Linked DNA regions of Caenorhabditis elegans. The protein of the gene in region 1 interacts with the protein of each later gene in a pairwise test. Each region holds a gene or a part of one and is shown on either strand. Other genes may lie near its edges. The genes, in order: B0261.7 and C36B1.11.

The links.
Region 2: the proteins of B0261.7 (region 1) and C36B1.11 interact in a two-hybrid assay, tested with the Caenorhabditis elegans proteins (one large-scale study listed by BioGRID).

Annotation. Positions count from the first base shown.
Region 1 is NC_003279.8:5,268,887-5,272,832, forward strand, and holds B0261.7 (Zf-tcix domain-containing protein), read right to left. Parts: upstream 2,056-3,946; 5' UTR 2,049-2,055; coding exon 1,686-2,048; intron 1,640-1,685; coding exon 1,517-1,639; intron 1,471-1,516; coding exon 1,324-1,470; intron 1,283-1,323; coding exon 1,067-1,282; intron 1,015-1,066; coding exon 818-1,014; intron 771-817; coding exon 761-770; 3' UTR 659-760; downstream 1-658. Other genes in the region: B0261.9 (DUF4377 domain-containing protein), read left to right, coding at 175-383, 431-577; B0261.8 (uncharacterized protein), read right to left, coding at 2,487-2,635, 2,692-3,033, 3,091-3,145.
Region 2 is NC_003279.8:8,755,041-8,759,216, reverse strand, and holds C36B1.11 (uncharacterized protein), read left to right. Parts: upstream 1-1,613; 5' UTR 1,614-1,669; intron 1,670-1,714; 5' UTR 1,715-1,815; coding exon 1,816-2,064; intron 2,065-2,114; coding exon 2,115-2,240; intron 2,241-2,285; coding exon 2,286-2,432; intron 2,433-2,496; coding exon 2,497-2,563; intron 2,564-2,610; coding exon 2,611-2,804; intron 2,805-2,944; coding exon 2,945-3,129; intron 3,130-3,179; coding exon 3,180-3,195; 3' UTR 3,196-3,371; downstream 3,372-4,176. Other genes in the region: DY3.8 (SWEET sugar transporter), read left to right, coding at 222-497, 545-721, 765-899; imp-1 (IntraMembrane Protease (IMPAS) family), read right to left, coding at 3,856-3,963.

The DNA.
Region 1 (3,946 bases):
AGTCGAAAAACTATAAAAAATCGATCCCGTAGCAAAAAAAATTACAGTACGCTCTTAGCGTCTGGGTAGCATGAAAACAGGTTTTCAACCCGGAGAGGTGTCGACTCATGCTGAAAAACCCCAACAATGTTATTTTTGGTTACATCAGTGTAGAATATCATCTCATTCTTCCAGAATGTGGATGCTTCGACTACAAACCGCTTACCATAAATCACGTAGCCATTTTGGATAAGGAACTAGCTCAAGAAATTAGAATTGGAAACCTAACTACGCCTATTTACACGTATGAGAATTGTGATTACATTTATATTCAATGCGGTGAAGAGAACGCAAGAACTCGACAATTATTGAGAACTAATTGGCCAGACAGAGGAACTATTTACGTAAGTTTTTGGAAGTTTTTAAACAGCCCCCTTTGTTAATATTTCAGAAAGTTGATATGACAATGATCTCACGTACAGCTATACTTTGGTTTAAAGTTGAATGCGACAAGAAAAGCCACGATTGGAGATACATTTTAGTGGACGATGACAGAGAAATTGTTAATGAGCATTTGGTTTGTCATTCTGTTCAATAAAATTCTGAAATACTGATATTAATAAATTGCTTATTGATCTCTTATAAAAGAGCTCTTATAGTTTGTTAGTGACAATCATCTGGCAGCAACATTTATAAAGCAGTGCGGTTCATTAGAGATTTGAAAAATTGATACAAAATAAAATGTATTGCATGTGGAATAAGTTTCAGTCACTGGGTGCGTTTATTGTGGTCTGAAAATAAAACATTGATTTTCTGAATTTCTTTTGAGAATACTCACGGGTAGTAGAGTGCAACATTGTGTCGCTCTTTGAAGCGACTAGCAGCAGCCATTTTCTCCTCGAGGCTTCCAACAGATTCATGAAGCATGTCAGAGACTGCTTGCAAAGCCTGCTCAATTGTCAATTCGTCTCGAATTTGATCGAAACGGAGACTCAAACTACGACAGAGCATGTTTATTGCAGAATCGTTTTGCTTCTGTAAAATATATATTTGCAAACACTCCGTACGGTATTTTCAAGGAACCTACAAGGTTCTCCACTTTAACAGTTGTAATAATCGAAATCGAAGTGGAATCGACTTTCGGAATATCTGGGACTGGTGATGCAGCTGCCGGTGGAAGGGTAACATCTGATGCTCGCTTTTCCAGGTCTTTGTGAGAAGTTTTCTTCTCTTCTTTCTTCGATGATGGTTCGCTGTCTTTGTTACTACCTTTAAACTTGGCCAGTATATCTTGGAAACAGTTCTGAACAAAATAATTGATTTTTGTAAACGGAGAACACTAACCAAGGAAAGACCGGCGAGCTTTTTAACATAGACATCGCTTTCTGTACGACAGTTATCAACTGTATTTTTCAGGTCCACGAGCATTTTCTTTCTTTTCACGAATTCGGTGCAACTGTTGGCATTATCAAGATACGAAGCCACATCAGCCTGCAACCAAGAGTATGGTAACGGTAATAAATGTTCAAGTACTAACCACTGGAAGATGTGGAATACCGAAGTCGTTGGTGATCATGAAATCAGTTGATTCGTCAATATCAAGAAATGCAAGTGTCTGGTAAATCAGTCCCATATCTTCACCAGTAGAAGCCGATTTAATCTGAAATGTTTCTTGAGAATTGATTTCATACTCACTGTAACTCTACCGCTAATTTGTAGGCTCCCTCCGCCTGATCAGAATGATTCTTGTGGCTGCCCGTGAAGATGCATGCCGAGCAAAATACTTTTTCATGTAAATAAAAGTCGAACGGCGAAGCATATTTCTTGTTTCCTTTGAAAACTCCAGCGCACTTTTCATGTCGGCAGACAAAGAGAAGTTTGTGTGGCACGAGGTCCTTGCATTTGTAGCATCTTGCGGCGTTTTCAGTCCATCTTGAACGGTTGACCGCACCCGAAGACTGATCTGGATCCGCTTCTGAATTTTCGTCCCCATTGCTAGAAGCAGTCTTTTCCAGAGAAAGTTGGACCGAATGATCGCGACTGCTGTGTACACTATCAACACAGCTCATTTTATCTGAAAAAATTGGGATAATGAACTATAATGTTTAGATATTAAGGTAGAAAATTATAAGCTCGAAAAATATTAATGGTTCCTCCAAAGTATCCTTCGTTTACTAAAAATTGCGATTATTTTAATATTAAATTGAAATAAAAAAGAAAATATAGCGTTGCGAAAATGATGAGAGAAACTTTAAGAGAAAAATCCTAAAAACTATTTCGATAGAGCATCATTGCAATGTACGCAATTTTCCTAACAGTGTTTGCGGACTTTGCCATTGTCTACCGTAGTATGGTTTTATTATTAAATATTACTGTATTATTAATAATATGTTAATTTATTAGCTAAAATTCAAGTTTATAATATTTTATTTTGTCACATATTTTGAAAAAAATTTTAAAAATTAAAATTTAATGGCGTTGATAAAAAATAAGTTAATAAATTCAATTTATGCAATGATTTCTGGTTGAGTGGATTGGATTGAAGTCAGAAGCCCGTTTGAAAATACGTCGACTCTTTCCTCTGCTTCGTTGAGATCAAAATTGGAAGTGGTATCGTTCGTTTCAACGTTTTCTTGCTGCTCATTTGTATTGTTGGCTGAAAAAGCAACATTAGGAAAAATCGAAAAATCAATTTCAAATTAACGAACTCACATTCCGTTTCCTTCTCAAAAAGATTCTCCAAAGTGTCTTCTTGATCCACTTGTGCCTCCTTTTCAGGTATTGGAAGCTCCTCGTCTTTTTCAGTAGACTTCTCGAGAGCAACAATTTCGTTTTTCTTTTCATCACTATCCTTCAAGTTTTGGTCGTTTTCAGATTGTTCATGAACAATTTCGTCTTGCTCCTCAATCTCTTCCTCGTCAATTTCATGCTCAAACTCGATATTTTCTTCTTCCGCCTCTTCATCCTGGACCTCACAAGTTCGCTGAACTTTTACTTCTGGTTCAAAATCATCTTGGAGCTCGACGGCTGGTCTTTTGCGTTGAGAAAGAAATCCTGAATCACCAGTTTTTGTAAAATCGTAAAAATATTAAAGTACAGATGATAACTCACCAATGGCTTTTCCGATAGGATTAGATCCCTCTGGTGTGGATAGAAGGCTTCCCATAGTTCTGAAATTGAAATACTTGTTTCTTATTATTCATCTGATGAAGGCTTAGAAGAATTTAGAGCGAGGAGAACTGCTATGTATCAAACACCGTAATTTTTGCGCCAAAAATACGGTAGCCGGTCTCGACATGATCGACCTTTATTGAATGCAGAAATGGTGTGCGCCTTTAAAGAGTACTGTAACTTCAAACGTTAGTTGCTGCGGAACTTTCATAAATTTTTCTCACGATTTTTTATGAATGGTATTACGGTACTCTTTAAATGTGAACTTTTTGCAATTCACGAAAATTTGTCGTGTCGAGATCGTGCACCGTACTTTTTGGGCAAGATTTCGCATCTTGGTACTTCAAACTTTTTAGACTTTAAAAAACACGTATACGTATAGACATAAGGCAGACACGTACGACTGAAGAAGTGCCTGCCTACTATGGAATGCCTAAAATTAATAAAAATTATCGTTGATCAGCTGCACTTTTGAACATTTTTGGATAGTTTTTAAGAGTCAGGAATGTTTTTGGCTCATAAAATTTCCAAAAGAATATAAAATTTAGGATTGAAGACTTGACATACGACGGACGACGAAAACAAAGACACTGAGGGAGATCGAGAGAATTAGAAGTGGAAAAAAGATTGAGAGGATGAAAAGAGAAAAAGAAAATGGACGACTGCAGCAGCGGCCAGCACACGAGGACAAATGTTCACCCGGTGTGAACGAGAAAAAGGATAAAAATTAGAGAAAGAGGAGGAAAGGAGAATGATTATGGGTGCAAAAAAGAAGACTGAGGTTTATATTTGCATT
Region 2 (4,176 bases), 3.5 Mb from region 1:
ATCAAAAAAAAAATCGAATCTTCTTTTGCTCTATATTGTTATCTAATTGCGGCAAGGAATATCCACCAGAATGGTTTTTTGCGGTAGTTTTTCGTTTTCATTTTCTCCGACTTTTTGGCGTATTCTTTTGTGTTTCGCCACATTTCTCCGGTACTTCTTCTAAATAGTTTTTAAATTTTAAGCTCAGTTTCAAACTACTGACCTGTCTCTTCAATTTCAGAATGATTGGCGCTATCAACGTTGCCGGACTCTTATTTAGTGTTTACTTCTACGCATGGTTACGTCCGGATCTTCAAGCAAATGTTCGCATGGGCTTCTATCGATATAAAGTTGATTTTGCAATATATTTCGGAACTGCTGTCTGGTTATTTTTGGCAATGTGTGTCGTCGCTCCACGTGTCTGCCGACGAACCAATGCGATTGCCGGAAATTGTGGAATGGCCGTTTGCTCGATTATTGTCATTGTAAATCATTATCTGCTGGAGAAAAAATGGGTGGTACGCAAACTTTATTTGTTTCAAATTCAACTATATACATTTTTCAGTGGGGTGGCTTGCTCTATCTCAGCAATATTATGTTCTACGTGCTGTTCATGGGACTCACAGTAATGGGACAATTCTCCAGATATCATTATGATAAGAATCGTGTCTCCAATATGATTATTCCAATCTTGGCAAACGCAGCAATGACAGTTTTGCTCATGACGAACCTAACAGATACCGTATGTTGCTTACTCAAAAGTGTTTATGTTTTCTGAATTTCAGGGATATTCTGACGTCGTTCCGATCATCTCCTACGGAGTTCACACAACAATGGCCATCATTGCTCAAGGTGCCGGACCACGCCTCAAAACATTAGACTTTTTTGAATACCTCAATCAATTCAAACGACGACAGTAGTTCAAATCGTTTCTAACCAATTATTTCATCTAATTTGCTGGTTCTCATGTATTTTCTTGTCAAATCATAACTTGTATCTCACTTCTCACTCAATTCTCCACGACAATCACTTTGCTTCATTCTATTCACAGTGTTATTTTTTATGAAGATAATTTAATTCGGTAATATTTGAAAGAAATGCTCTTTATTGCGTTATTATCAATATTTAGAAGAAGCCCCATCGAAACAGGGTGCGCGAACTACAGTTTTGAAGACTACTGTAGTAAATGAATACTGCAATTGCGCGTGTGCCTCGTTGCACGCACAACGAGACCCGAAGAACTCGGGGGATGTCCAATTGGGGGGATTACCAACTCGGGGGATTGGCCCCGCCCACAGAACCGTGACTTGCAATACGCCCATTTCTGCAACTGCCGCACGGTTTTAAAACTATAGTTCTTCGGGTCTCCGCACAACTCCACATTTGAACTTTTTTATTGCGCCATTTTTTGATTTTGACCTAGTTGTAGGCCTATATAGGAATTAAATGTTCATTTTGAACGAATGAATTGCTTCCAGAAGTGATATTTGACTGTTTTTCAAGTTTTCCCAATATTTCAGCTTCTATCTTCATCTAAATAAACATTATGCTTCAAAATTCTCGTATTTTCGTTCCACATGTGCTTTTTTCTCTCCTAAGTCGTTTTCTCACTTTAAATACAATTCAATTTTAAGGTAAAGGATCATACTTCAAACATAATAATCACTCACAAGTAATAATAATCTGAAGAGTAAGCTCATATTTTTCTATTTTTCTTAAATCTAATTAATTTCAGTGTCCTCCTCTGGAACGATTGATAGTTTCAATCAAGTTCTCACCAAAGAACCACCAACACCAGCTGAATTTGCCTCGACATTTCCTCTTCATCAAGATGTAATGTCAGGACAAAAGTGCTCCGCTTACACCGACACAATGGGAACTTGCACAATCTGTTCCATATTCGCCCCACACAGTCAATTATTCATTTGTCGTCACGAAGGCTGCAAATATGCGCTCAAACAAAGTTCTTCAATTATGACGCCGGCAATGTTCTATCGAAAAGAGAAAGTTATTTGTGGAAAGTGTGCTTTTGTCGGACCACACAAAATGCACAAAGATTTCGTGTCAAAAGCGCAAAAACTGGCGGTATGCTCTCATTCAACACTCTTGATTTTTCAATAAAATGTATTTTTCAGTTTAAAATCGCTTCACAAGAGATTGGAGTCAGATTGCAAATGGAATTCGATGTTCTATCCGAACTACATGAAGATAATCCTGTTGATTATGCCATTATTCTTTCTGGTCACGAAAAATTGGAAAAAGTGAGAATTTAAGAAATTTTAGAAAATTATTGTTAACTAACTCAGATTGATGTGATTAAATACTTGTCACAGTCAAAAACGATTGTGGAATGGAATTTGCGTCAACGGCAACTCAACGAGGCTATCCAATTTATTAAATTTAATCGTATTGAAGGCTACCATCGCGTCAAAGAGCTGGCTAACAAGATGCTTGTGAGTTTGACTATTACAATATCAAGTATAAATTTGGAATACTCGAATAACAATGATTTTACAGGATGCATTTTATGATGCTAATGCGACAATTGAGAGAGACTCAGAAAATGGTTCTCCGCAGAGCGATGGTAACTTATAAAAATCTCTGATCGTTGAAAACAAAACTGTGTTACAGATGATCACTTATCAGATGTTTCGCATGAATGTCAAGGATCTTCTCGGTCGTCTATTTCATCAAAAAAATCCAGTATTCATTCTACATCAACTACTGGCACAGTTATCCTGAATCAGAATCCAGACAACGCCCTTTCATGCAGCGAAGTCTCCGGAGGCGATGAATTGAAAAATAAGAGCAGCACTAATGAAGGTGTAAGTAACATAAATACTTTCAGGCTTGAGTGTTTTATATAATCAATTTCTTCCAACTTAAAATAAACTCCGCATTCTTTCGAAAAATTGAGTAAACATTTATTATACAACTAAAACGTTATAAAGCCTAATTTTTTCAGTACACCGAGAGCATGACCGAAACTGTTATCACCATATCACGCCGTTTTGAAATGTGTATTCGTCGGGAATCACCAGAGGATGCAGTTTCTCGTATTGCAGATTATCTTGATGATAGAATCGAATCTAACGATCAAAAAAAGGCAATTGCCGAGTACATGGAGAGAAATTACTCGATCAAGTGGCCGTGAGTTTCTCTTTTCATTAATCGTCGATTCCTAAAGTTTCAAATTTCAGGCGCCAGTTTCAATGAATTCAATTTTACCGAACAAATGAGCACATATTAAGGAAATTCTTACATTCTACGCCGAATTCTACTATAACATACTTCTTTTATTTCTCACCTTTTTCAATGCCAAAACGAAAATTTTTTTCGCATGTTTCAACTCGTTCAAAATCAAAAATTTGAAAATAAACTATTAGAGCCTGAAATTATCTAGTTCTCGTTTATTATTTGACCAAAATACAGAACTTTTCGTTTGTTCTCGCTCTGCATGGCATGTTTTCGTGAACCCAACAATTAAAATTCGACGGGAACTTTCATGTGTCATTTGTAATTATCGAATATAGTCAAATAGCAATTGCTTCAGAAACGATTCGATCATAAATTTTCATTTCGAGAGGAACGATCGGAAAAATTCTATTTTGAATAGAAATAATTATGTGTGTAAAATTGAAATAAGAATGGACAAAAGTGGGGTACTCGTACTAGGAAGAAACAATTATGGAAAACTTGAATAAGAAAGATACATACCTACGTGAAAATTTACACAGAACAACCATCGATTTTACAAGAATATGAATGTGGCTCGTTAATTTGAATATTTAAAAACGGTTAGAGTTTGATTGAACTTTTGAAAAGGCAAATTTCAATTCTTCTCGAAAAGACATTGGGGAAGAGATTTCAGTTGATTTACACGTTTACAGGAGGATTTTGTTGACTAGAAGAGTTGGATTGATCGATTACAGCGTTTGATTCGATGTCTTCCATTGTATCATCAGGAGAAGAAGAAGAATTGATCTGAAAACTTTTTGTAATTATTTGAATTTTTATAATTTTAAACTGCAATGGTGATATTTCTGAAATCAGAACACATAAGAAGCAGTTAAGGTGAAAATGCAAATTTCAGGCATTCAAGGAAAAAAGTGTGCAAGCAATTGTGGTTGGTTGAGAAGAGTTGGCATCAAAGACGAAAGACACACAAAACATTTAAAATTAAAACATAAAAGGTTC